Mytilus edulis: one gene and its partners. The protein of the gene in region 4 interacts with the protein of the main gene of each other region in a pairwise test. Links are inferred from orthologs where the notes say so. Each region holds a gene or a part of one and is shown on either strand. Other genes may lie near its edges. The genes, in order: RING finger protein 11-like, E3 ubiquitin-protein ligase RNF103-like, E3 ubiquitin-protein ligase AMFR-like and ubiquitin-conjugating enzyme E2 N-like.

Region 1 (7,283 bases), about 36 Mb from region 4:
ACACAATGTCTGCGCAGTAGACTATGGAAATATAAATTAACTATTTTTAAAATCCATTTTTTTTTTCATCATGTGACAGTAAAAATATGAATATTTAAAGATAAATTACCTATTTAATATGCTATTTTTTTTCATCATGTGACAGTAAAAAATATGAATATTTTTTTATCATCATGCGAGTCTGACAGTAAAAAATATGAATATTTTTTTGTTGGCCTTTAAAATATAAAATGATTTACAAAAGAACCTTTTAAAGCACTTATAATGTGATGGGGCCTCAACAGGAAGTTTTGACAAAATAATGTAAATGAAACAATACATAACTAATTCCTGTTTACTATATGAGTACTTCCTTATGATAATAAGTAGGTCACATGATTAAAGTGCTTAGTAAAGCTAGATTTAAAGATAGTTAACCAAGTGTACTTTTTTCAACCTGTCTACTTACATGGAAATATAAATAATGTATGTTTATTTACGGTAAAGAAAAGGAATATAAATCAATTGAACTCTTTTGATACCTATAGTTACACAAAATCAATCCTTAAATATACACTTTTCAAACATATTAGGTAGACACTAGACAGTATCAAAATTTGATAAAACATAAATATAATTTAAGCTATAAAAGATTATTTTAAAAATTAAAATCTGTATTCTGCAGACCAAAACAAGCGACTCTATTATAAGAACAAATAATACAATAAACATTTTCACTAGTGTTTTTTTTTTACAAAAAACAAATCCTAAAACTTTTAGTCTATAGATTTAATCTGAAACATACATTGTAACTTATGAATATAAAATACTAAGCAAAATGCTAGTCCAATATTGCTCTGACCTTCAATCGCTGTTTTTCCGGAAAACAGGTTTAAAGAAAAACATTGAGCCAGCCAGACATTTTTGGTACATTGTACCTGACTAAACAATATGTGTTATAGTAGTCTCAGATTGAACCTTTTAATTTTTTACGACTCAAGCCATTTCAGCCAGGTGCCATATGATGAGATTCTACTATATAAATTATTCATACCCATATTAAAGAATGATAAGGCACATAAATATGACTTTTTTTACAAAGCACGGTTACAAGGTAACCACTAAGATAGTGACACCCATGTATAAATATGATCAACTTACTCTTTTCCTCGTTTACTACACCCATCATAAACTCCTGTAGGTAAATGACTTATAAGACCTAATCGTTGGGCAATCTTTATCTGTTCATCTTCTGTAAGCATATTAGCTGGCCGACTGACATTGGGTGATGGATAATATACTGGAGCTCGCTCCTGAAATGACCAAGACAAAAGTTACGAGTGTTAAGAGCTGACAGAGCAGTTGATGAAAGAAGAAGGCATATATACTTCTACATGATTGTCATGATAGTGGTTTATTAGAGCCACATTTACATGTACATAACTGCACATTCCTTACTCCAGTTATTGGCAATAAATTTCTATAGTCAATACACATTTAGGATTTCTTTAACTTTAATAAAGGTCCTGATACCTGATAAGTTATACTTAACTAACCATTGATACCTGAACCTGAAACAAATCCTTATCTATCTGAAACAATTATATCCTGTGTCTCCTAAATAAACTCATCATAGACATCAGGATGAAATTTTGTATAAAAGCCAGACACACGTTTCGTCTACAAAAGACTCACCAGTGACGCTCGAATCTCGAATCGAAACTCCTAAATTAGTCATCCTAACAATCATTAGATTGAAGTTGAAATGTACAATAACCTTCATTTACAATGTATATTTTAAATTTTGTAGTCTTTGTATCACGTTTATATAAAACTAACTTTATAAACATACTCTCTGTGAAGATTTTAAAACTGACATTGTCTGTATCTGTATCTGTATAATACTGGAAATGAACTCAAAATACTGAGTAAAACTTATCCAGGAAATGTGTGTGCACCACTGATGTATCTAGTCATGCGATATAACTGCCTTAAAACTTTCCACAGTTTTACAGTTCACGGCAGCATTTGGTAGTAAGTTCCAATCAATGATAGTTTGTGGAAAAAAAGAATGTTTATAAATGTCAGTATTTGCTGATAAAAGTTTTATTTGTTTGACGTTAGAAATTCTGGATGGTCTAGTATTAAATTCTATATGATGTTCAGTGGGGATGGCTACCAGGTCGTTCACTATTTTATACAGTAGTACCAGTCATTGTTCTCCTCTTCGTTCCACAAGAGGTTTCCATCCAAGGTCCTTCATCATGGAGGTGACACTACTCGTACGTCTATAGTCTTTACAAAGGAATCTAGCTGCTCTTCTTTGTATGTTCTCTATGCGGTTTATGTCTTTTTGTAGATATGGACATTAATTATGAACCAAAATGATTTTAATATTATGCAGAAACATTCATTGTTTACAGGTCCATGTGTTTTTGTGTGTCACTGTTCTAAAGACGCTCGAATCAAATCTCCTAAATTAGTCATCCTAACAATCATTAGATTGAAGGTGAAATGTACAATTAATAACCTTCATTTACAATGTATTTTTTTGTAGTCTGTGTATCACCTACATTGTATATATAAAATAACTTTATAAACATACTCTCTGTGAAGATTTTTAAAACTGACATTAATTATGAACCAAATGAGTTTTAATATTATTCAGAAACTCATTTCCATGTGTTTTTGTGTGTCACTGTTCTAAAAATAGGACATAGACTGTCTTTGTTGTCAAGATCAGCTGATCATGGGGTACATTTATTATACAAACACAGACATCAGCTAATATATATTTTTTCAAAATGTCACAAATATCCATTAAATTATAGTCCTAACTAAAAGTAAATGTTTGTTGATTTGCGTACACTTCTCATAATGACCATAAAATAGGAAATATTTACCTGATATGGTGGTGGAGGTCCAACTGGAACAGGAGCTGCCTGCTGAGTTCCATCTTGGCTGTCATTGTCATGTAACAGCGTAATATCATCCGTACTTGGTGTTTTGAAACAGTTGCCCATTTCTCACAAATATTTTGTCATTCAAAGAAGGGTATTTAATCGGTCATTGTTGACGAAATTTTGCACCAAAACATTAACCAAACAACATCAGTTTTTTTTATCCTTCCACATTTGTTGACGTAAATAAAAAGGATTATTTTTTTTTGACACAGAAATTAGCGATTTTATTTTGAATAATTTTTTAGTTAATATGAAATTTCGAACATAAGTACTACAGGAAAAATATTGAAGATTATTGCTGTATTTTTTTCCGGGTAGAAATAATATTCATAGCGTATGAATATGTCTACTTTCGTTTTAGAAAAATAAAACGCACACGGGAAAGCAATTTTATTAAAATGATCTGAAATCAATAAAAGTAATCGGTATCACTGTTTAAAAAATATATTTTCTTGTTTTTGGAATACATGTCTTACAGCAGAAATCATAACATTAAAATGTTATTCGTGAATAATACATTTACGCTGCATGAAAGCTTCTGTGGTACTCTGATCTACTTTCAGTTTGCCAATTTTGCAAGTTGTTCAGAATAACAAACTGAATAAATGTTATAATGTCCTGAGCAAATCATCTTTAATCAGCTGGTAGTAGAATATGGCAGGAACAGACAAATATGAATGGTAAACACACTATTTTTTTAGTCTTTAGTAATTACACATTGGAATTTTTTGGGAAATACTTAGTCTGTTGATAGTAAAATGCTGTCATTTTTATGTTTTGTTTGCGTGCTGTCTTTGTGATATTAGTTGGCGGCATTGCCACAAAACTCATCAGATGCACCACCTCCAGCTTCAAATTAATCCAATACACCTTATCTCTATTTAAGGAGGCTCGTGTGTATAAAAAAATCAGCAAAAAATTAAACAACAAATTTTATTTATAACACTATTAGTTATTACTTTATGATATGGTACAAAAATCACCCGGACTAATCGATTTGGTTTGGCCACAGATGACTTTAAAAATGTATATATCATTGAAAAAGCTCCAAATTATCTCCCTTTGGTGCAAAAATGTAATTTTTTGACGTTTAAATTGAAATATCTTTTTTAACTCATCGGTGACCTATATTTTTTATTATTGTTTTCAAATAGGCTGTACATAAACTAAACAATTGTAAAAATTAAGCGATTTCTGTAATTTAGTTCTTTTTTTATTTTGATATTACCAATATTTCTTCTATTAGTTCCACAGAAAAAAAGGACATTGACAAAAATGTATGCTTCTTTCGGAAGCAGATTGTGAGCTTGAATGAACGGTGACCCCATATTTTTATTTTATATTTCTATTAGGTATAAGATAAAGTTTAATCATAGAAAAAAATAGCAAAATCCTATATTACAAAAAAAGTTGATATAGACCCGTGAACCCCCTTAATGTCTGCCATTACTGGACATTGCACAGGTTCCCGTAAAATTTTGACGTCATAATACAAAATATCTGACGCCACAATGGAAAAGTGATTGTTGTATGACTTCAATAGTTCGAGCGGGACAAATTCAGGGGTCAGTCAGGATTAGCAATAAGGATTAATTAAGGTGTATATGAATAGGTCCATGAATTGTTTCTGTATAGCTTTTTGTAATTTAAGAACAGTTTGTCTACAGAGAACAGATTTTTTTTTCAAAGTTTCTTACACTTCACTTAAGAACTCAAAGCAGAAGTAGACTATTACCAAAATGTGTGACAATTTGGGAATTTGTAAATTAAACAGGAATTTATTTTTGTTACTCAGTTTCAAACAAACATTGCTGATGACTATATGAAACATTATGATATTTATTGTTGAAAATGCATCCTTGCTCCATGCACATAACACTGCAGCTAGTAACACTGTGATGGTGGTGTTGAAAAAGTATCCTTTTGTGAATATTTTAAATGATTGGTTAACATGCTAAAGGGCTTTTTTTTTTATAATAATAGCTTTCAATGTTTATCCATTTAACTTAACATTCTCATTTTTTATTTTTAACATACTTACTTAACATGCTTAATATATTCAAATTAGAAAAAGTCTGAAAGAAATAACTAACAATACAAAGACTTGTTATAATGCATGTTATCCTATATTAACATAAATATATATTTTTAAAAAGATGAACAAGCACATGCGATCATATAATGACGATTTATCCAGGTCTGTATATTTCAAGTCACATATTTATCAATTATCATGGTTTTTGACCAGGTCAATACGTTATATATATGTTCAGATTATATTGAGCGGGCACGAAGTCTGAGTGTTAATATAATCTTACAGGTCCATATATAGCGTATTGACTGAGTGAAAGTCCTTGATTTCTACATTACATATGTAAATAACGTATTAGAAAAATGACGTTCAATGTTCTTTCTGTGTATTTTTTAATTGTATTTTGCAAAAATTTAAAAATGTTATTGACAATATCATTTTTTTTTAAACTTCATATTTTGTTGCATTAGCATTCTCAAATTCTTTTCATCTGCATTTAACATAAAATTCTTGAAATCTCCTGATAAACTTTCAAATTTTCTTTTCTAATGCGGCGCTTCTTCTGTGGTTGTTATGTGTGACGTCATAAATCTAAATTTAGTAACATTTTCATATTGACCACCAATATATGTATTAATAGCAGCATAGCGTCACTATATGTTAAAAAAATACAACCTTTGAAACATGTGATCGTCATATTATCCAATGAAAACAGTAGAATGCCAGTGGCGGATCCAGAAATTTTAATCAGTGGGGGCCTACTGACTGACCTAAGAGGGGGCCACTCCAGTTACGCTTCAGTGATTCCCTATATAAGCAACCAATTTTTTTCCCAAAAAGGGGGGGCCCGGGCCCCTAAATCCGCCTCTGAATGCTATACCATATGTAATATAAAATAGTAACATTCAAACTAGTGGTTTATGCAAATGCATTACATATTACTAAAATATAGAACTATTTAAATGTTTATAAAGCTGCATGAACCTATAATTTATAATTTAGGTCAAACATCTTGCTTGAGTATCTTCCATCAGGTGTTATATTTGAGATCTGCAAACATTTGACTTGGCAAGATATTTTCCACATTAGTCAGACATGTAGGAGATTCAACCAATTGTGTGATAAAGCAACTATATGGTAAGTCAAAATATACCAGTGATTATTTGTTAACGTGGTACATAACACTACAGGGAGATAACTCTGTAAAAAGCAGCTGAATGTTTAAATCAAATTTTATTTTTAAGGAAATATAATGTTTCCCAATGATCAAAATGTGTCCTTGTCAAAATACTATATATCAAATGAAAATTTTCTGATAAAATACTCCATTCAAATTTTTTGGATTTTTTTATATTTTAAATATATGGGTAAAGTACACGCAGGAAATCCATGTAAATTTGTTCCCACAAGTAATAATAAATCCACAGCAATTTTCACTATTAATTCTTAACTGATATTTATACCCCTGCTTTAAACTCTGTCTATCAGTCTGTCCATCCATCTGTAAGTCTTTCGGTCTGTGACGTCTCATGAATATTTTTTGTCGCATCTTTCTCAATATCTACATTACAACAAGATTTCTGAAATTTGGTTTATGGGTTAATATGAGTCAGCTTTACTGTGTGATGCATATCAAATTCATCACTGAACAACTTCTTATTTTAACTAATTCTTTCAGAGGGCAGGGTATCAAAAGTGATCAGTAACTCACAGATTTACTTGTTTTGATTGTTGTTATTTGTATTTTTGTCTGATAATTTTGAAACATGATCTATTTACAGGCTACAGTTAAAATCTCTAGATTTCAGTAAATGTATGTTTCCATTAGACTTGAAAGTTCTAGATGTTGTCAAAAGATGTCCTCAAATAGGTAAATATCTTTCTCAGTTTCTGCAAATTGTATGTTTCCCAAATACTGAAGAATTAAGATTTACAATAAGTAAGTTGTTTTAATAAGAATTAAATGCTTCTCTTTAAAATTTCATTGGGGTATTAAAGTGTAAGCTGAGAAGAAAATATTGTATGAAACAGAGTCACTTCATATAAAAAATGTATCAATTGTATGCTTTAATTAACGTCTGAAATTATAAAAAGGAGCATTCAATCCTTATAATTACATTTTAATGCTACAATGTTGAAATTAAGAGTTGAATAGTTAGCATATTATTAGCATGTTTTAAATTAGTTTTTTTTAGTTGAGTAATTCTTAAATTAGAAAATACTGCATGCATTTATTTTTAGGATTTTTATACAACTGCAAAAATGGTCGTCGTCACCTTCGTCCAAAGACAGATGGTTTCCAATACATG
Region 2 (6,992 bases), on a different chromosome or scaffold from region 4:
CATATATAGTATGTTGTCGTATAATAAATTATATAATATACAAGTGTACCTGGTATAGCAAAGTGTATATAAACTATATCATGTTCAAGTGTACCTGGTATAGCGATATATATAGTATGTTGTCAATTACAAAGGAGTAGGGGCAATAAGGCCCTTATTTGGCCCAAAAATTACTGCAAATTTAAAAGTTTTCATACATATTTTAAAATTACTGAAAAGTATCTCAGGTAGAAGGTATTCAGAAAAACAAAATAATTTTGGACATTAAACAAGTTACCATGGCAACAAATCATGCCTTAATTTGCATATTTTGTAAAATTTTGTGATTTTCGTTGTTTTTCATCAAATTGTTAAGTATATTTTTGATTGGAAAAGTATGTGCGCACCCAAGAAACAACTTTATATTTGGTGAGATTTTGTCAATAGTAATGATAAAGCTTCAGTTAAATTATTTTGTTGTTTCTTGGCTGCGCACGATGTTTCCACAACAGAAATAAAGATAGAAAACTGCATAAATTCTGAATTTTCATCGTTTTTGTGAAAACAGTATATATTATGACGTAATTGTGACGTCATCACATAAGAATCTTAATGTTTTCTTTATATTTCTTGACCCTATGCATTTCTTAAGATTATGTTCCGATTTGAAAAAGTTATCAAACATTTTATTTTCTTGGGCCAAAACCAGGCCTTAATGCCCCTACTCCTTTGAACAAAGGCTCACTACAATTTTTGGGTATCACATGTATCATATTCTCCCAGGTATCCACTTCAGGGTTCACCAGGCATTAGTTCCCTTTCGTTTGTAAAAAACTAACTGAGTTCTCTTAATATTAGGTACAGAATTAGTCTGAACTCTGAAGTCCATTTTGGAAAGGTTTACAACAACAGAAAAGAATAAGGGAAATATAGTTCTATAGTCATTAAAACTATTGGTGATACAATGTATAAACATAGTACATGTATTTACAACATTAATGATATGAATGTAGTATTCAGAATGCATATTTAAATTGTTTCTATCTTACCTTTTCTTTGTACCACTTTGTATAAATTTCTTTAAATCTGTGTTTATGTTTTCTATAAATATTTCCTCCAATGGACTTAAATATCGACTTCCAAAGAAGGATGCCAGATCGAGTCTGTTAATATTTATATTTGATGCCACCAGTACCTTTCATCACTGCAATAATAAACATTTAAAATAAAACATATATTAAACATTGTCAAATTTCAAATTATGAATGTACATGCATTTACAATTTCCTTTAGCAAATAGCCTATATGTCCATCTGATGAGTTAAGCCTTTTTCAACTGATTTTTATAGTTCCTTCTTATGTTGTACTGTTATACCACTGTCCCAGGTTAGGAGAGGGTTAGGATCCCGCTAACATGTTTAACCCCACCAGAATATTTATGTAAGTGCCTGTCCCAAGTCAGGAGCCTGAAATTCAGTGGTTGTCGTTTGTTTATATGTTACATATTTGTTTTTCGTTCATTTTTTTATACAAATAAGGCCGTTAGTTTTCTCGTTTGAATGATTTTACCTTGTCATATCGGGGCCTTTTATAGCTGACTATGCGGTATAGGCTTTGCTCATTGTTGAAGGCCGTATGGTGACCTATAGTTGTTAATGTCTGTGTCATTTTGGTTTCTTGTGGATAGTTGTCTCATTGGCAATGATACCACATCTTCTTTTTTATATGTATCCCCGTACAGAGTAAATATACTGAGTAAGGAGACTAAAATATTCACTGTAATGGCAGCTTTTAATCATTCTTCTTAAAAACTTCATGTACACCAAAAATTTGCCTCTTACAGAAAAATGACTTGAGTGTGTAGGTAACAGTAATATCTTAAGCTATATATCTTGCTTGCTATAGCTACATGTACATGTAACTGAACCATGAAATCATTATAAGCTAAGGTACCACCTTTTTTCGGGAGGAGACAATGAATAGGCACAGATCCAATCAAAAGTAGGAGCAATATACATTGTATAAATATTGTGAAACCGATTTTACAAGTTAGTTATTAAAACATGTTTTCAGGTTAAAGGTGTGCTCGATTTGCCAATTCAATTTCAGTCAATTCAAGGTGAACTGATGGAATCCATATATAAAGTTTTTTAATAATTTGTCAAAATGTAGTTTTATCCTGACCCATACTTTTTAATAACAAAAAGTATGGGTCACCAGATTTTTTTTTTTTTTTCATGATACGGGTTGTACAAAATTGTCAAATTTTTTACAGATTATGCATGGAAAATCCAATTTTGTTTGATAAAAGAAAACTACACCATAGAATTTTAAGATAAGATAAAATGTGAGGAAATAGCCTTTTAACATGCTTTCAGATAAGAAAAGAAAAAGTGGGCCACCGGTCTTGTTTTCTTGTTACATATAAAAATAGGTAAATTCACACTTTCTATTATCAAAATCACTTTATTTGAGTTATCTCCCATATAATCTGAGTTATCTCCATTTATGTGGCAAAGCTGAAAAAATGAGTCAAACACAAATATTGCGTCTTTTAGAAAATACAGTTGTAAATATGATAAAACATATAGTTTCTATAATAAATGGAAGAAAAAAACACTTTTCATGACAATTTTATATATGTTGATACATATATAAAAAGGATATAATTATTTGATTTTGATGTGTAATTTAATGGGGGAGTATACGTACTGCAGAAGGTGTTAAATTAAACTTAGGGGGTCAAATCACAAATTTAAAATTATTTTTTACGCACTCCAACATTCCACTCATTTTCAATTATTTTTGTGTTTTTGTAAATATATATATAGGCCACGCAGCGCAAAACAGTAAATAATCTTCAGATAATGAAGGACTACTGAAAACTTAAAGAAGAAGTCTTCAAGATGTTCCTCTTACCATGCAATTGTAAAAATGTTATTGTATTGTTTAAAAAAAAAATTGACAAATCAAACACCTCCTCAAAATGCTATACACTATATTTTGCAGACTGAAAAGCCAGTCAAGGTCGTTTAACTACCATCATCAACACTATATTCTAAATTTAGATTGGAAACACATAAATTTCTAATCTAATTTCTTAATGTGTGTGCACTGTCCTTCCTTTTGATTGCAATTGTTTATCTACTTAAATATAAAGGTTTAATCCACCTAAAAAAGGGGTCATACCTAACTAATAATCCTTACATATTTCACCTAGCAAGCAAGCTTACCAAAAATATTTCCTTCAACTACCATGACTACACATTTACAAGTCATTTTTCTGTAAGTCTCAGTCACACATTAGGATTTTTTACTGCTTTCCTTGTTTGGACTACTCCTGATTAAAACTTGTCATAAGTGAGATCAAGATCCTGTGATTGGTGGTTATAAATTTATAAAAACATTGATTTAATAACCAAATCGGATATTGTTTAGCAAGCGCTTGTCTAACTCAATCCAATACACCTCATATAGCTACATGTATATGTCCGTAATTACTAGATATCACACAGGTTCCCGAAAAAATATCTAATGCCACAATGGAAAAGTGATTGTTTTATGCGTCAAAAGTTCAAGACGCCGGGTCAGCCGGGATTAGTGATAAGGTGTATTGTGATCAGATTAATTTGTACATTTTGCACACAGTAAAAACGACCCAATATGTCATGTACGTGTCAATAGTAAAGGTTGCCATGTTAGAGTCATGTTATTTACAACAATATTTGTTTTCAGTGTACTATAGGCATGATAGGTGATCATATGTAATAATTTGCTTTTACAACATGCATTTTGTCTTTTTGATTTTGACTATTCAAATTCTTGGTTTGGATAAATGTTTCATCATTTAATACTAACAAGATGGCGAGTTCATCTTACCCTTTAAAGACCTATGTACTACTTCACCTCAAATAAACATGAAATTTTTCAAAAAATAGCTGCCAAACATTTCTAAAGTACAAACAATAAACTGGAAGTTCTGTTGTCTCCGTCAACGTTTTGGTTTTTAGTTTCTCACTGACCTTTGTTTACTTCCGGTTGAATGGCAGCTTTGTAAAGTTGACGAAAGTCTTTCGTCAGATAAAATGGGGGAATTTGCCATTTACCAGACCTTTCTTTTGCATTAAATGATGCATTGTATTGAACCTAAATTGTCTACAAAAACTGTCATTTGATTTTGTTGTCTTTGTAATCAAATTTTCTGGGAAGTTTAATGTAGACGTGTCACTTAATATTTTGACATTTGTTCCCGCCATATATAACAATGTTCATCAAGCTAATATTGTTTCTTGTATACATTGTTATACTTTTTCTGCTGACACGTATACTTGAAACTTTAACATGGATTGAAGTGGGTAATCTGTCACGTCGACTCCTTGATCCAATGACCATGTCTGTCATGAAACTGAAGGCCTTGCTAGACCAAAGAGGGATCGGTTATGAAGGAGCAATAGAGAAACAAGAGCTTGCTGAATTAGTTGAATCATCAGGTTATACAAATAACAATTTGATATTTTAAGATATGAAATGTAATCTTAAATGTTGACAGATTTCTGTATCAAAAAAAGATATATTGAAGAGATGTCACCATGATAACTTCAGATTGATTTCAATTTAATTCTATTCAAACCTAAATATGACAGTTGGAAGTCTGCAAACAAAAAAATCTTTGTATGATCCTACAGTAGTATGTTCATAAAAATGAGATGGTCATGTGATTGCCAATGGGCAACTATTCACCAAAGTTCAATTGACAATGATGTACATTGTACATGCGTAAGTTACATGTACTATCCATCAGCATACATGTATGGCCTTCAACAATTAACCAAAACAAAACTGTATAGTCCGCTAGTTATGGTCCTGACATGACAAAATGAAACAATTCAAACAAACCAAAACAATTTAAGGTTCATTCTCATAAACCATGTAAACAAAACACACATTTTTCAAGATCTTACATTACAATGACAAATGTAATTTGTCCAGTCTTATCTAATTGATTTCCAGAGTGACTATACCATCATTGAGACACATACTAATGTACAAAGTATGTAAATACAGTCCAACTGAAAATATGTGTTATAATTCCTAACCACAGTTTGTGCCAAATACATTTTCAATAACAAGCCTACATTTTGTATATGACAGTGAAAAAATGTATGGCAAAGCTGCTGCCTATTATTTTGGAAGATATATAGTTTATATGCCCTTAGACAGCTGACATATGAAAGCTTCTGATCTTGCAAACTACAAGAGCATTTGTCAATCATGTCATTACAATAACATTTTCTATTAATATTACATAATTTCTAATGTAAAGTTAAAACTATACATTCATAGAATATAAAATGGTCCAGATCTTCTGACACCTGCCTACTGTAGCGGAAAAAATACAATACATGTTTTCAAACTCAAATTTTGTTTGCAAATAGAAAATGCAAAAATGTATTCAAAATTTTTTTAAATGTATATATTTCAATATGATTTCAGGTGCCATTGCTGAAGACACAAAGACAAATAAGGAAGAGGAAATCTCGACAGTTGCTGTTACAAATTTCACAACCGGAAGTCTGTTTGATGAACATGTAGAGGATGCTAAGGATAGCATTTGGTTGGTTTATATCATACCAGATCAAAGCCATGTCAACTACTTAGCAGATACTAGCTGGAATATCATCAAACAAAAAATGTCTGCATTTGGAGTTAATATAGGAGTTTTTGATTGTAGTTTAGACCCAATGTAAGTACAGATAAAAATTAATAAAAAAGTGTATAGGTTACAACCTATAAGTATGATAAAAAGGTACAGTAAGAATGATTCCTACTTAAATTGTACCAAATATATATGTTGTTTTAAAGCAAACTTCTCAAAGTATTGGATGGAAAACTTTTTGACAAAGTCATCCATTTACAAAGAGATGTGTTAGAAACATGCAAGACTTGATATATATGTGCTGTGGATATATCAGAATTTAATCAATTCCCTCCCATGACCATATTAGTTTTATTGTCGAGCCTGCAACTTTTGTTGCAGAAAGCTCGACATAGGGATAGTGATCTGGCGGCGGCGTTAGCTTACTTCCTAAAAGCTTTATATTTTAGAAGGTAGAAGACCTGGATGCTTCATACTTTGTATATGGCTAAGTATTCAGTATAGTGTTGTTAGTGTGTGACAACATATATGATTTTAAAAGTAGCTGTTTCAATCTTAATAACATGATTTTCTGAAAGGAGAATGATTCTAGTTTAGGGTTTTACATGTAAAAAGATAGTTATTTAGTCAGAAAACATAAAATTAGACCTAAATAGCATGTTGGACAGAGGTTATGTTGGACGTAACAGGACATTGAAAAATTGAATATTTTCCTTTTATATGAAGGCCTAGTTAATAAATATATCAATTTTTCTCTGACAGTTCATAAGATCTTCAATTAAAGTATATCATTTTGTTAAATTTTTCTTACTTGTAAGTTGGAAAAATCTTAAAATATGTCGGACAAACGGGGACATTTTTGGATGAGAATTTGTTCCATTTGCATCATTGAAAGTCAAAAACAAAATCAAAACTATGCTGTTTATACTAATATCTACAGCTGGTGTTCCTCAGCAAGAGGTAAAATGGTTCATTATTAAATAAATGGATAAAACAAAACCATAAAAAACTGTAGGACAAACATAGGACAGATTATATTCCCTGTCGGACAAACATAGGACAAAATTCATTAATTTACTGATCCTAATGGGAATTTAAAAATGGGCACCTCTTAAGAAGAGACTAGGAAGAGTCTGAGAACTATATTTTAGTTTATGTGGACTTGTTAGTTGTTAACAAGGTTCTTTTTACTTTTAAAAAGCTGTTACGTCCGACATTAGAAGATTTTGTCCTACGGTTCGTCCAACAGAAAATTAATGGACTCTTGTTACGTCCTAATTTTCAAAATTATGTCAAATTTAGACTGTCAACAGTTTAAAACCTCTTTATTTTTCATTTATATGGTAGTATTTAAGGT
Region 3 (7,530 bases), on a different chromosome or scaffold from region 4:
AATTGAAGAAGTAATTTCTAGAGTATTTGTGGTGTTAGCATTAGCTCCTTCCAAAGCAACTTAAAAGTTGTATTTCATGGAGTGTTTAAATTGAGGGGGGATAGGACCTTTATATGGACTCCGGGATCGTGTGTTTTTAAGCTCGGGATTTCGGGATTGACCCTTTCGGAATCTGGGAATTCTTTTTTTCGGATTTCGGGATGTTGGGATTTGCTTTATTTAAATTCGGGACCTCGGGATTTCGTTTTTTCAAGTCCGGGATTTCGGGATCAAGACCCCTCCTATCCCCCCTCTAAATTGTGTTTTTTTTCATTCCCCATGAAGTCAATGAAAATTGGTATCCCAGGATTATTAACAAATACACATTAATAGTTAAAACAAAGTACCAGTATATATAGAACTTCTGTTAACATGTGTAAAATTTGCATATACCATTAGAAGATCAGTCATAAAGTGTTGTATAGCTTCATGTTGAAATTTACGGTTACTCATGGTTGCTTTGTCATGTTTATGGTTTGTACTGTTTTGCTCATTGCACAATGGCCATGGAGGATAGATAGAATCAGGCAAATATAAATGTAGAGTAATTAATTAAAATTTGGAACCTTTCATTGAATATATGTTAACCACAACTAATAAAGCTTGTTCTTTACCCAAGTAATAGTATCTGGTCCTGTCTTTCTGGACACTTTTGTTACTTTATAACCCTTCTCTTGTAAAGCTTTAGTTAAATGACGGCCCACAAAACCAGTACCTCCACCTAAAATAGACATATAAATTAAATGTTAATTGTTTTTTACAAACTTGTTAACCATGTTAACAGATGTTGAATTATATCAAAATAAATTTTGTTCAAACTAAATTACGGCAGTTAAATCTTTGTCGTGTCATTGACCTTGTTTTTAAAAATCGTTAAAACATTGAAAAATGGACAATTTTGCAAATTATTTATTTTAAATTAGGCCATTAAGTTTTCTTTATTGAATTGTCTCATATTTTTCAAATGGTTTTCCTACTACAACTGGATATTTGTAGATATATTTTTTGGTCAATGATTCAATTAAGAAGTGTCAATACCTCAGTATAATGGGGGTCTCATTGGGGGGTTCCGATCCCAGATCCCGCTTACTGTTTTGTCAGATTCCAGTTTCCCGCTTACACTATGTACGTAAGCAATTTTCATTTTTTTTTGTCATTTCCCGTTTTCACGACACAATAATTTGACTTTCACGTGTCACGCTTACAAAAAAATGGCAATCCCGCGTCAGGCTTAGACCCCAATGAGACCCATTATAATGACAAAGTTCAGGTGAGATTAAGACCCCTATACATGTACATTGTGTAAATGGCAAATCCCAAACACACTGCTTGATGATGCGCCTGACAATGGCAGAACATACAGATAAGGTAGCAAGTTACATGTGACATCTATCATTGTCTATTATTGGTATCTGTGTAGGATTTCAACCAAAAACAAAGGGACCTGGAATAATGTAATTTTGATCAACACCATTGTGCAATATTGGTTATATATAAAGTTGAATTCTTTGATAAGTTGTTTTAACATCATGCCAGCTAAAAAATTAGACTTCATTGTTTCAGATAGTGTAGATGAGGGTACTAACATTGTGTTACACTCCTGACGAAAAACAATAAAAATTCTTGCCAAATGACGTGAACAGTAATATTTGATGATAAAATGTAAATGATGTACACTTTCTTTTATTCTAAAAAAAACAATCAACAGATTTTGATGAATCACATTAAATTTTATCCAGAAATGACGGTAACAATAATTGCTTGGACATGTTATAGATCTCTGACGAATCATGATAAGGATATTTTGATGAATTATGGTAAAATTTTAATCAATTGGAAGCTAGCCGAAAATGACCATTCCACGCCTGACGATAAATTTAAGGGCATTTCATATTCTCATAGATGAGGGGGGATAGGACCTTTATCAGGACTCCGGGATCGGGTGTTTTTAAGCTCTGGATTTCGGGATTGACCCTTTCGGGATCTGGGAATCCTTTTTTTAGGATTTCGGGATGTCGGGATTTGCTTTAATTAAATTCGGGACCTCGGGATTTCGTTTTTTCAAGTCCGGGATTTCGGGATCAAGACCCCTCCTATCCCCCCTCTCTTATGCAACATATAATTTATAATTGTATAAATAAACCAATTTTTCAAGATGTTTCGGCTTTGGTTTATCTATTTATACAATTATAAAATGTATGTTCCCTATTGCAATTTTAAAAACAAGGATATAATTTATATATAAACAGCTAAAATATCTTGTCCTCTATATTTTTTTATAAAAGTCATTTGGTTGTTTTTGTTAGCTCACCTGGCCTAAAAGGCCAAGTGAGCTTTTCTCATCACTTGGCGTCCGGCGTCGTCCGGCGTCCGTCGTCGTCCGTCGTCGTCGTTAACTTTTACAAAAATCTTCTCCTCTGAAACTACTGGGCCAAATTAAACCAAACTTGGCCACAATCATCATTGGGGTATCTAGTTTAAAAAATGTGTCCGGTGACCCGGCCAACCACCCAAGATGGCCGCCATGGCTAAAAATAGAACATAGGGGTAAAATGCAGTTTTTGGCTTATAACTCAAAAACCAAAGCATTTAGAGCAAATCTGACATGGGGTAGAATTGTTAAACAGGTGAAGATCTATCTGCCCTGAAATTTTCAGATGAATCGGATAACCCGTTGTTGGGTTGCTGCCCCTGAATTAGTAATTTTAAGGAAATTTTGCTGTTTTTGGTTATTATCTTGAATATTATTATAGATAGAGATAAACAGTAAACAGCAATAATGTTCAGCAAAGTAAGATTTACAAATAAGTCAACATGACTGAAATGGTCAGTTGACCCCTTTAGGAGTTATTGCCCTTTATAGTCAATTTTTAACCATTTTTCGTAAATCTTAGTAATATTTTACAAAAATCTTCTCTGAAACTACTGGGCCAAATTAATCCAAACTTGGCCACAATCATCTTTTAGGTTAGTAGTTTGAAAAATGTGTCCGGTGACCCGGCCATCAAACCAAGATGGCCGCCATGGCTAAAAATAGAACATGGGGTAAAATGCAGTTTTTGGCTTATAACTCAAAACCCAAAGCATTTAGAGCAAATCTGACATGGGGGTAAAATTGTTTATCAGTTCAAGATCTATCTGCCCTGAAATTTTCAGATGAATCGGACAACCCGTTGTTGGGTTGCTGGCCCTGAATTAGTAATTTTAAGGAAATTTTGCTCTTTTTGGTTATTATCTTGAATATTATTATAGATAGAGATAAACTATAAACAGCAATAATGTTCACCAAAGTAAGATTTACAAATAAGTCAACATGACTGAAATGGTCAGTTGACCCCTTTAGGAGTTATTGCCCTTTATAGTCAATTTTTAACCATTTTTCGTAAATCTTAGTAATCTTTTACAAAAATCTTCTCCTCTGAAACTACTGGGCCAAATTAATCCAAACTTGGCCACAATCATCTTTTGGGTTAGTAGTTTGAAAAATGTGTCCGGTGACCCGGCCATCCAACCAAGATGGCCGCCATGGCTAAAAATAGAACATGGGGTAAAATGCAGTTTTTGGCTTATAACTCAAAACCCAAAGCATTTAGAGCAAATCTGACATGGAGTAAAATTGTTTATCAGGTCAACATTTATCTGCTCTGCAATTTTTAGATGAATCGGACAACCCGTTGTTGGGTTGCTGACCCTGGATTGTTAGTTTTAAGGAAATTTTGCTGTTTTTGGTCATTATCTTGAATATTATTATTGATAGAGATAAACTGTAAACAACAATAATGTTCAGCAAAGTAAGATTTACAAATAAGTCAACATGACCGAAATGGTCAATTGACCCCCTTAGGAGTTATTGTTCTTTATAGTCAATTTTTAACAATTTTCATAAAATTTGTAAATTTTTACTAACATTTTCCACTGAAACTAATGGGCCAAGTTCATTATAGATAGAGATAATTTTAAGCAGCAAGAATGTTCAGTAAAGTAAGATGTACAAACACATCACCATCACCAAAACACAATTTTGTCATGAATCCATCTGCTTCCTTTAATATTCACATAGACCAAGGTGAGCGACACAGGCTCTTTAGAGCCTCTAGTTCTTCTTTTGATGTATCATTGATACATATTAACCATCTCCCTTATTCTCAAGAATAATGCATCACCTATTAAAGCCCTCATTCTATGTGAATCAATGTATAAGCTGATAACTGCTTCCAGTAGCCGGTGACAGTCAAAACAAAACGTTGCGTAATCACAACTTTATAGCCAATCGAAAATGATAGTTTCGCATGTATAATTTGTTGATTAAAACTTTTAAACTCTTAACATGAAAGATTTTCATAACCGCTTTGAAAATTTAACAATGTAATTTGTTTTTTTGTTAAGGGAGTGATTTTCTACGAAACAGTGGCGATTCATGCAACAGGTGCGCTCGATTTCTTAAGATTTTTATTCTATTATTTTTGGGGAAAACTTTTTCAAACAAAGGGTATCTTCTTTACTTATTTATATTTTATTCGTCGATTTATTGAATTAAAACAAACAAAAATCTCTATTTTGGTATGTTTTATGAAAGAAACGATTACAATGCCGCCATAATACACAAAATTTCAAGTCGAGTGTGACACAATATTTGACAGATCGCCACACAATAATGATTTGTTATCTTTTCTAAAACACAAATAAACCACAATGCCTGTGATACTTCTAGAACGGATACCGCTGCCTAGTCTTCGTACATACACTAGTCTCTCTGTTGTATTGTTGTCATGTGCTGTGTTTTATGCCTATCAATGTGTTCTTGCTTTCCAAACAAACCCACATAATTCTGATCTAAACGGAGCCGGAATCGAACATAATGTTAACATCGGTAATTCAAAAGAAATCAGTGACATATTGAATGATCCAGATGTAGTAAAGGAACCATTACCAAGTGAATTTGACATTCAGCTGCCATATGAGAGTTTTTGGTGGAATGTAGTCTATGTTCTAACTTCAGAAATATGGTGCATTTGGGTAGGTACACTTTGGATCCCTGTCTGTTAACATAGATTCATGGTCGTCATGATTGAGGTTTCACTTTGAAATCCTGTCTGTTCACCCAGATTCATGTTCGTCCTGGTTCAGGTTTCACTTTGAATCCCTGACTCCCTGTCAGTTCACCATGATTCATGTTCGTCCTGATTCACGTTTGGATTTGGGTAGGTTCACTTTGAATCCCTGTCTGTTCCCCCTGATTCATGTTTTGTCCTGATTCACGTTTGCCCTGATTCATATTTGTCTTGATTCATGTTTGCCTTGATTCATGTTTGCCTGAGTACCTGTTCGCCCAGGGTCTATTGTTCCTGATTATTATTTGAACAGAGTTTGGTACAGTTTGTTAAAAAAAAAAATTTCCCTTGATTTGCATAGTAGAATACAATGTATTTATATGCATATATTAGCATAGCATAGAAAAAATAAAAACGTAGCAACCTAAACCTCAACCTAAAACCAGTGAGATCTCTGCAGGTTCTCCTGAAGGGTAAATAAACAGATCCTGCTCCATATAAGGCACCTGTTGTGGTGCATTTTTAAGTACAGACTCAGTGATAAGTAACCAATTTAATTCTCTTTCCATTTGTTACATATAAAAAAATGATAGTCAATGAGACAACTAAGAGGACACAGATATATATATACTCTTTATATGTCACTCACTGTATAGTCTTCAACAATGATCAAAATATTTACGATAACTTCAACTATAAAAGTTTTTAAGACATATGGCATGATGATTTTTTTAATTTCTTATATATACTGTATAAGTATTCTAACTTTTGATTAACTGTGTACATGCATGAATGTGTTTAGGTTCTGATATTTGAATTTATTTTAACATTTCCTATAAGTCGTTGTAAGTGATACATATTTATTTTTCAGACTGTTGTTAACACAGCATATTGCTGTCTTATTCTGCTTGCCAAGTTGATTCAAAAAGCTGTATTTGGAGAGTTAAGAGTTGTAGAAAAGCAGGTAATGTTTACATACATGTATTGTTTTGTATATTTTGACTGATAAGGATTACATAATTAAAATTTCTTATAATAATTGAAGTAAGTCTATTTAAATAGTTGCAAACAAGCAGAAGGATCTGTTATTGTCTGTCTTGTGAATACATAAATGTTGAAGAATTACATGCTTAAATCATGTTTACCATGTTTACATTGTCTTGTACTTTGTACATCTAGGTTCATGCTTGAATCAAACTAATGAATTGTATACATGTATGTTATTTATCATATAAAATGAATTCTTTTGATTTTCTCATTCAAAGATTTAATGTGAAAATCAAAGAATAAAAGTCATGATAATGATTTTAAAGATAAACATGAAAAAATTTGTAAGGGTTCCGCGGAACCCAGTGTCTCGCCTACTTTTGCTGTAAATCGCAGGCTCAACAAAAATGAGGAAAAAAATCAATAAAAATATTCCTCTTGATACTATCTTTTGATTGTAAGAAGCTTCTGTCCAAGTTTGGTAAAAAAAATTCTGTCCAAGTTTGGTAAAAATTTAGGATAGTTAATGAATCTAATAAATGTTTTAAAAACTTTAACTGCAGACTGTATGTAATGTTAACTGGAAGAAAATCTAAGTTCATTTAAAAGTAAAATACAGAAAAAAATGGAGTTATCTTTTTACAAAATTTACTTCTGGATACTATCTTATGATCATAAATAAGCTTCTGTCCAAGTTTGGTACAAACCCAGGATAGTTTAAGAAAGTTATTAAAATTTTAAAAACTTTAACCACAGAGTGAATGTAATGTTTCCCCGCAGAAAAACTAAGTCCATTTAAAAGTAAAATACGGAAAAAATGGATTTGTTTTTTTACAAAATTTACTTCTGGTTCCTATCTTATGATCATAAACAAGCTTCTGTCCAAGTTTGGTACAAACCAAGGATAGTTTAAGAAAGTTATTAAAACTTTAAAAACTTTAACCACAGAGTGAATGTAATGTTTCCCAGCAGAAAAAACTAAGTCCATTTATAAGTTAAATAAGGAAAAAATGGAATTTTATTTTTACAAAATTTACATCTGGATACTATATCTTATGATCATAAACAAGCTTCTGTCCAAGTTTGGTAGAAATCCAGTATAGTATTAGTTTAAGAAAGTTATTAAAATTTCAAAAACTTTAACCACAGAATGAATATTTGTGGACGCCGCTGACGACGACGATGGAATGTAGGATTGCTTAGTCTCGCTTTTTCGACTAAAGTCGAAGGCTCGACAAAAATGATTCAACATATTTAAGTACATAATTTTACTATCAGTGTAAAGGACTATCGAAGTATTTCTAAAGAAGAGTGTTTCTTAAAAGATATTATAATTGTAGATGTAATTAAACATACATGTAGAGAATGATATAAGCATCTGTATTCTGTATCAATATAAATTCTGCCAATGAAGGCACACCTCCAAAGGAGTTGAATAAGTAATCCTCTACCA
Region 4 (7,406 bases):
TTCACCAACTCGCCCCACTATTAAAAAAATCGCCCCAACCTGGTTAACCAACTCGCCCCACTTTTTAAAAAAATCGCCTCACTTGTGAAAAGGGTTAAATCCAGTTAATTTTTCCCCTGTCAACTCGCCCCACTTATTGAAAAAAAGGAAAAATCTACTTCTATATACAATTTTCAGGTCTACCAACTAGCCGCACTTAAATGAAAACTTATTTTGATTTTTGTAATCTACACAGAATACAAAAAAAATGAAATTTATTAAACTTTTTTAACATTCTTAAAATATAATTGCAAATACATTTTCGTATCATTATTGGAGAATAACTTTATACTTGTAAGCTTAGTTATTTGTATAACAATTGAAAAGAAACCTATTAATTGTATCATAATCATACAATTGATGCGTGATTAACATTTATATATAACTTTATTGCAAAAACAGAGTTTTTAACAGCAATTTGATTTTATAGCACTTCACTTAGGTTTTCAAAGGTATTGACGTGGGCAGGGAAAAAGATGGGATTGCATCTTTTTTATAAGTGGTTTATCTATTTGTCATGAGTGGGGCCAGTTGACAGACTGTATTTCAGCGGGATTTTAACCCTTTTCATAAGGGGGGCATGTTATCAAACCTATTTGCAATGGGAGTTTATCTTTTTCATAAGTGGGGCGAGTTGGTAAACAAGAGTGGGGAAAGTTTGAAAAAAAGTGGCGCGATTAGGTGTGGGGCGATTTGTCATGGATTCATTTTGTATATTTGTGTACCCAGAAATATGTAAAGATAACATAATAAAAATATTTGGCGAATTTTTCAACAAACTGTAACTGTAACGCTTTCGCGTCGATCCGGCCCCACGTCGATCCGGCCCAAGTCGATCCGTCCCACGTCGATCCGGCCCCACGTCGATCCGGCCCAAATGTAAAGTCGATCCGGCCCCAATAAAAAAATATATTTATAAGGAATAAAAATAAAGATATATATTAAAGTAATTCATAAATGTTTATGATTTTTATTATAATGTTAAAGGTGTACGGTAAAAAAAAAAAAAAAAAAATTCTTCAGATGAGTATAAAACAACTAGGTTGATTATGTTTTTATTTTTCAAGTTTTCAAGATTATTGGGTATAATTATATTAAAACAATTCCTTTAAGTAAGTGACAGTGTAAAACTGTTAGTGTAAATGATTTATTAAAAGGTTATGTATATTTATGTGAGTGTCAGAGATAGTTAGTATGTATGATGTTATTGTTATATTTTAGTAGTGCTGATATTATATTTTAGAGTGTGAAAATGTGCATTCAGTGTCATTGTTTTGTTATTTTCTTGCAATAAAGAATAATGGATACTCATATAACTTGTGTTTTTTCTACACACAACTATTCATTGAAAATACTGTCAAATTTATGAAAAATATATCGATATAGGAAGATGTGGTGTGATTGCCAATGAGAAAACTCTCCATCCAAATAACAGTTTATAAAAGTAAACCATTATAGGTTATTATTATATACACCAAACAAAATATCAATCTATAAAGACCTCGTTGATATTATAAAAAAAAAAAACAAGTAAATAGAAGCCTGTGATGTTACCTGAAAAAAATACAATTTATAATTATTATAAACACCAACCTTAACCAGAAGATCAATTAATCAGGATTTGATTTAATTAAGTGATTACAAGTGGCATCACCTTAGTTAACAATCATCAGACAATTGTTGAATAAACAAACCAATTATAGACTAATGATTTGATTAATCAAGTCATTATGATGAGTTAAATTTAATAGGTTCCAGTGGACTAAATATTTATTTAGATATTCTGTGTATGAAAAAAAAGAAAATGAAATCGCCATGAGTTAAAGTTAAAGTTATCATGGAAAATAACTTCATATTTTAAAATATGTTGAAGCTGCCATACAACCAACGACACAATAACAATCATTTTCGTATCGATTTAAAATAGTTCTTTAACTGGTACTCCAATACTTCACTTAATACCTGTTGTCATCCATCATTGGACACTTTTTGCAAATTCCATTTATACTGTGTCACAAATTCCTCCAAGATCAATATAGTTATTTCTTATTTTATTATGGGGCCGGATCGACTTGGGGCCGGATCGACGTGGGCCGGATCGACGTGGGCCGGATTGACTTGGGGCCGGATCGGTTTGGGGCCGGAACGACCGGATACCACTGTAACATATTTTGTTTCCAAAATAAATATTATGCACCTAGACAGCATTAAGAAAAAATACAAATCAAGATGAATGGACCCTGGACAAACAGGTACAAATGTACCTGGGCAAACAAGTACTTGAGCGAATGTGAATCAGGACGAACAGACCCGGATTTGACACAACAACCTTAAAGTGATTGTTGGGATTTGACACAACAACCTGAGACTACTATAACACATGTTATAGTAGTCTCAGCAACAACCTAAAAGTGATTGTTGAATTACATCAACAGTTCAAGTTTCTCAACTTATAGGGTCTAGTGTTGAAGATAACAAATAATAATAAGTTCTTTTATAGTCATATCGGCCTTTTATCCGGATTTTCAAATAGACCGGTAATCGCCAATAAATCGGTATGTCAGACCGATGTCGAAACCAACAGGGGACCAAACCCTGAATTGACATCCAAATTCTTAATCATTTGTTGGACTAATAACTTAAAACAATAATGTTATGGTATTTCTTTTCATCACTGAAAAAAAGGTATTGCCGCAAAACTCGCCATTCACAAAGAAATTGTACATGATGATGTTCAACTCTTCACTCAAAAATGGCAAATCATGTTGTAGACACTGAAGTATGATATCATTTATGAATCCCGACTACTTTATGAGAAATATAATTGGCACCTTTATGATTCGACGGGGTAAATTCCCAGGTACAGTGGCCATTCTTTACTTTTTCTTATAATAAGTCTTGTTTATCTGTTTATGAGAGAACCAGAACGTTTTAAAATGGCGTTTCCCCGGAAGTTAAAAATGGGTATTTCGCCCCAGTGCAACTCGTCCACTATTGTATCTGTTTCACTTTGTTTAAATATGTCACATTAAAAAATGGAATTCAGTAGGATTCAGAATCCTCCTAGTAAAAATCGGAATGTTATCTAGGCATAATAAAGATTTTATCATAACATAAATTCCCAATACCTACTATTCAAGTGGCAGGTGCACTCGACTCCAATCGTAATTGACTAGGCCGGATTGTCAGTTTTCATGTCGAAGAACTCATAGGCGGATCCAGGGGTGGTGGTGTTGGATCCCCTGTAGTGGGAAACATTTGGTTGATTATATAGGGAATCACTGAAGCATGACTTTTTCCCCCTTTAGGAAAAGTTCTGGATCCACCACTGAAGGTATGTGGTTCTCTTCGGGCACTCCGGCTTCCTCAACTGAAATATAAAAAAAATTGACAGCCACGAAATGGCACAATATGACTGAAAAACATCAACCAAGTTGAAACATGGAATATTTTCCCGAGTTTAACGGGTGACTTACCGAATCAGAGTTATTGCTGAGTCTAAATTGTACTTGTATTATTGCATTATACCGAATTCTTCTATCCCTATAATGCATATATTTCTTAATTTTCATTTGCTTTTTATTGATTTTGATATTAACTATTTTTCTTCCCCACCCCACCCCGGCAATATAGAGACAGAAAGCAGTGTCCATACCCACTTCTATTCTTGATTTGGATGTCAATAGGTTCTATTTCATAGTCTTCCGGCATTTTGATCTCACCTGGACCAAAAGTGCCAAGTGAGCTTTTCTCATCATTTCGCGTCCGTCGTCCGTCGTCGTCCGCTAACTTTTAAAAAAAATCTCCTTTCTGAAAGCATGGGCCAAATAAAACCAAACTTGGGGTATCTAGTTTGAAAAATGTATCCGATGAAACTAATGCCGACCGTGCAAGGGCTGTATAGCCTGTCAAGGTCGTTAAAATCTTTCATTTGTTGTTGAAACCATGGAAGTATTATATTGACAATATAATACTTCCATGTTGAAACTAAAGCATTTAAAGCAAATCTGAACGGGGGTGAAAATGTTCATCAGATCAAGACGTATCTGTCCTGAAATTGTCAGACGCATCAGACTACCTGTTGATGGGTTGCTGTCTCAGAATTTGTAATTTTAAGAAAATTTTACATTTTTTGGTTATTATTTTGAGTATTATAATAGATAGAGATAAACTGCAAACAGCAAAATTTTCAGCAAAGTAAGATCTACACATAAGCCAACATTACCAAAATGGTCAATTGACCCCTGTAGCAGTTATTGTCCTTTGTAGTCAATTTTGGATATTTTTTTGTAATTTATTGTAGTCTTTTACAAAAATCTTCTCCTCTGAAACTACTGAGACAAATTTACCAAACTTTGCAACAACCATCATTAAGGTTAGTATCTAGCTAAAAAATGTCAGATAACCCTGCCTACCAACCAACAGGGCTGACTTGGTAAAAGTAGAAAAGTAAAAAGCAAGTTTTATCTATTATTTTTGAACCGTTATATTAAATAGAGAAAATCTGAAATGAAAAAATAAGTTCAGAATAATGAGCTCTATCAATTGTCCTTTATCATATATACGACTAAACTGCTAGACAAACTCTTATAGGAGTTATTGCCCATAAATGACAAGTTTTATGATATTTTATTTTCATTTTTGCCATTTATCATGAAAACTATGATATTTAGAGAGAAACTTTTTTTTCTGTTATGCTTCATTATATTAGATAATAAAATGCTTCGCAGGGCACAGCTTGATACGACCGCAGAGGTTGAACTTGTTGGGGCTAGTATGGACACACCATTCAAGTTTTATGCAGCTCTGCATTTGGGTTGTGATTAAAACGTTGACACAAAATAGATTTCTGACACAGAATGAATGTGGTCTAAAATCTTAAATATTTTAATTTGGTCTTTTACCTTTTATGGTCCAATAAATAAAATATAAATACATGGTTAGATTCAGCATAATATCAAAGAACCCCAAGAATTCAAGTTTTGATGAATTCAAATAAAGTTCAATTTTGAACCCTTTAGACCTCAGTGTGGAACAATTTGATAAAGGGGCCCAAATAATAAAAATCGAAATGCATGGTTAGATTCAGCATATCAAAGAACCCCATATATTCCATTTTTGTTGAAATCAAGGATTTGTATTTACTATACAAATCCTTGTTGAAATCAAACAAAGTTTAATTTTGTACCCCAATTTAGACCAACTTGTAAACTTGGCCCATAATAAAAAAAATCTATGTACATGTTCAGATTCAGCATATCAAAGAACCCCAAGAATTCAATTATTGTTAAAATCAAACTTAGTTAAATTTTGGACCCTTTGAACCTTAATTGAGACCAATTTGAAAACGACAAAAAATTAAGAATTTAAATACACGTTTAGATTCGACACACCAAAGAACCCCAATAATTCAAGTTTTGATGAAATCAAACTAAGTTTACTTTTGGACCCTTTTGGTCCCTTATTCCTACACTATTGGGACCAAAACTCCAAAAACAATCCTAAACTTCCTTTTGTGGTCATCAACCTTGTGTTTAAATTTCATATATTTCTATTTACTTACTAGTATACTAAAGTTATAAACCAAGAAAAATGCTTATTTGTGCCCTTTTCGGGGCCCTTATTCCTAAACTGTTGGGACAAAACTCCCCAAATCAATCCCAACTTTTTTTTTATGGTCATAACCCTTGTGTTAAAATTCATATATATCTTTTTACTTCTACTAAAGTTATTGTGCGAAAACCAAATGTCTTCGGACGACGACGACATGATACCAATATACGATCGCAAAATATTTTTTTTGCGGTCGTATAAAGATAAGATAAAGATATTTTATTTCCTAATCATAGGGCTCATAACAAGCATGTAATCACATAAAGTAAAAATAAAAAGCCTTTTCTTTCCTTATTATAAAGGGTCTTCAACCGAGTTCATTGAACAAAACTGGCATGTTCTCTCCGATCTTGGCAGTGTTAATATTTTTTCCATGTTCATCAATTTTTCGTTATGCGGAGACAATGATTGCTTATTCTAAATCTAGTTAGTATAACTCTCTTATCTCTGTTCTTAATTTTGAAGTAATCTTCAAAAGTGAAATTATGTCTAAATTTAAAGTAGTTGCTCAATTTACTGTGATCATCTTTTTTTTAAAAGTCTTTTTGATGGCTCCAATATGTTAAAAAATCCGTTTTGATACATTTTGTAAGTAAAATTTTGAATTTATTTTTACTGAGTTTTTTACAAAGTGCTAAATTTAAACCAAGTTTTTCACTAAAAAACTTTATGTTTGCATACCACGATTGATTAGCCACAGCTTTATCAGAGGAACTTTCAATATAAGCATCACTTAAGAGATCAGTGGGCGAGTTTTCAAGGTGGTGCCAATACATAAACATTTAAATTACTATGTTAATATACAAAGGAAATCTACCTAGCTCTGATATAACTCCAATATTTGTACAATTTTTGGAGACACCAAGAACATACTTGCAAAATTTAAGATTTAATTTATCAGGTTCCCAATCTTTGAAGATTTCAAAAAGATGCATGGTTCTTCTTTTTGGAGTCAAATTTAACATACCCCATATTTCACAGCCATTGGTTTGATGGTGTGATCAAATATATGAAGTAAAGTCTTAATAGATGGAGAAAATGACTTAATGTTTTTGTAAAATTTAAAAGAAGCCTTTAGTTCTTTATCATATAGGTTTTTTTCTAGCTGCATTAAATTTTCCAGTATTAGTAAGAACTAATCCTTAAGTATTTATAGAATTTCAAACACTCTATTCTGTTTGCACCTATATTAAATTCATCTGACAGTAGTCTCCCATTTTTATTAAAGATTATAATTTGTGTTTTCTTTGTGTTTATTTCAAGACACCAGTCACTACAATATTGGTATAAAAAATAAGTTGGGTTTGTAAACCCTTTTTATTATCTGAAAATAACACCAGGTCATCCGCATAGAGAAGGCAAGGTACACATTTATTATTTAATTGTAGACAAGACAAGACAATTTATTACAACTTAGGCACACGTATGGTGCTACAAGAGGATAACAATTATACATTAAAAATTACATACATACTTATACATTTACAAGAAAGTCACACAATAGATTAATAATTGATATCATACAATAAAACTGAAATATATTTGGTTGATTTGTTTGCAAAATTCTTAATTGCAACGTGGTTAGAAATTATTGTAACATGCTATGAATTATGAAAATATTTTTTCAATATGTCTTAGAAACATGCACACTTTTGTTAGCACTGGCACGTTACAGTGTGATAATAGACCAATAAATTTCAATTGGGAAGGATTTTTTATGTAATATGTAGGTATATACCTTTCTCTTAAAGACA

Evidence for each region.
Region 1: the proteins of ubiquitin-conjugating enzyme E2 N-like (region 4) and RING finger protein 11-like interact in binary tests that used the Homo sapiens proteins (3 or more experiments, as listed by UniProt). The link is inferred for Mytilus edulis from reciprocal best matches to the Homo sapiens genes UBE2N and RNF11.
Region 2: the proteins of ubiquitin-conjugating enzyme E2 N-like (region 4) and E3 ubiquitin-protein ligase RNF103-like interact in a two-hybrid assay, tested with the Homo sapiens proteins (3 studies listed by BioGRID and IntAct). The link is inferred for Mytilus edulis from reciprocal best matches to the Homo sapiens genes UBE2N and RNF103.
Region 3: the proteins of ubiquitin-conjugating enzyme E2 N-like (region 4) and E3 ubiquitin-protein ligase AMFR-like interact in a two-hybrid assay, tested with the Homo sapiens proteins (2 studies listed by BioGRID and IntAct). The link is inferred for Mytilus edulis from reciprocal best matches to the Homo sapiens genes UBE2N and AMFR.

What each region holds. Positions count from the first base shown.
Region 1 is NC_092344.1:15,816,030-15,823,312, reverse strand, and holds the start of RING finger protein 11-like, read right to left. Parts: upstream 3,024-7,283; 5' UTR 3,003-3,023; coding exon 2,883-3,002; intron 1,293-2,882; coding exon 1,141-1,292; intron 1-1,140. Other genes in the region: uncharacterized protein, read left to right, coding at 3,597-3,622, 5,977-6,111, 6,756-6,844. UniProt on the Homo sapiens protein: Essential component of a ubiquitin-editing protein complex, comprising also TNFAIP3, ITCH and TAX1BP1, that ensures the transient nature of inflammatory signaling pathways. Promotes the association of TNFAIP3 to RIPK1 after TNF stimulation.
Region 2 is NC_092347.1:26,685,345-26,692,336, forward strand, and holds the start of E3 ubiquitin-protein ligase RNF103-like, read left to right. Parts: upstream 1-3,987; 5' UTR 3,988-4,243; coding exon 4,244-4,469; intron 4,470-5,472; coding exon 5,473-5,722; intron 5,723-6,992. UniProt on the Homo sapiens protein: Acts as an E2-dependent E3 ubiquitin-protein ligase, probably involved in the ER-associated protein degradation pathway.
Region 3 is NC_092348.1:64,431,252-64,438,781, forward strand, and holds the start of E3 ubiquitin-protein ligase AMFR-like, read left to right. Parts: upstream 1-4,503; 5' UTR 4,504-4,731; coding exon 4,732-5,055; intron 5,056-5,961; coding exon 5,962-6,054; intron 6,055-7,530. Other genes in the region: epimerase family protein SDR39U1-like, read right to left, coding at 654-760, 4,203-4,218. UniProt on the Homo sapiens protein: E3 ubiquitin-protein ligase that mediates the polyubiquitination of lysine and cysteine residues on target proteins, such as CD3D, CYP3A4, CFTR, INSIG1, SOAT2/ACAT2 and APOB for proteasomal degradation.
Region 4 is NC_092344.1:52,090,702-52,098,107, reverse strand, and holds the start of ubiquitin-conjugating enzyme E2 N-like, read right to left. Parts: upstream 3,020-7,406; 5' UTR 2,913-3,019; coding exon 2,871-2,912; intron 1-2,870. UniProt on the Homo sapiens protein: The UBE2V1-UBE2N and UBE2V2-UBE2N heterodimers catalyze the synthesis of non-canonical 'Lys-63'-linked polyubiquitin chains. This type of polyubiquitination does not lead to protein degradation by the proteasome.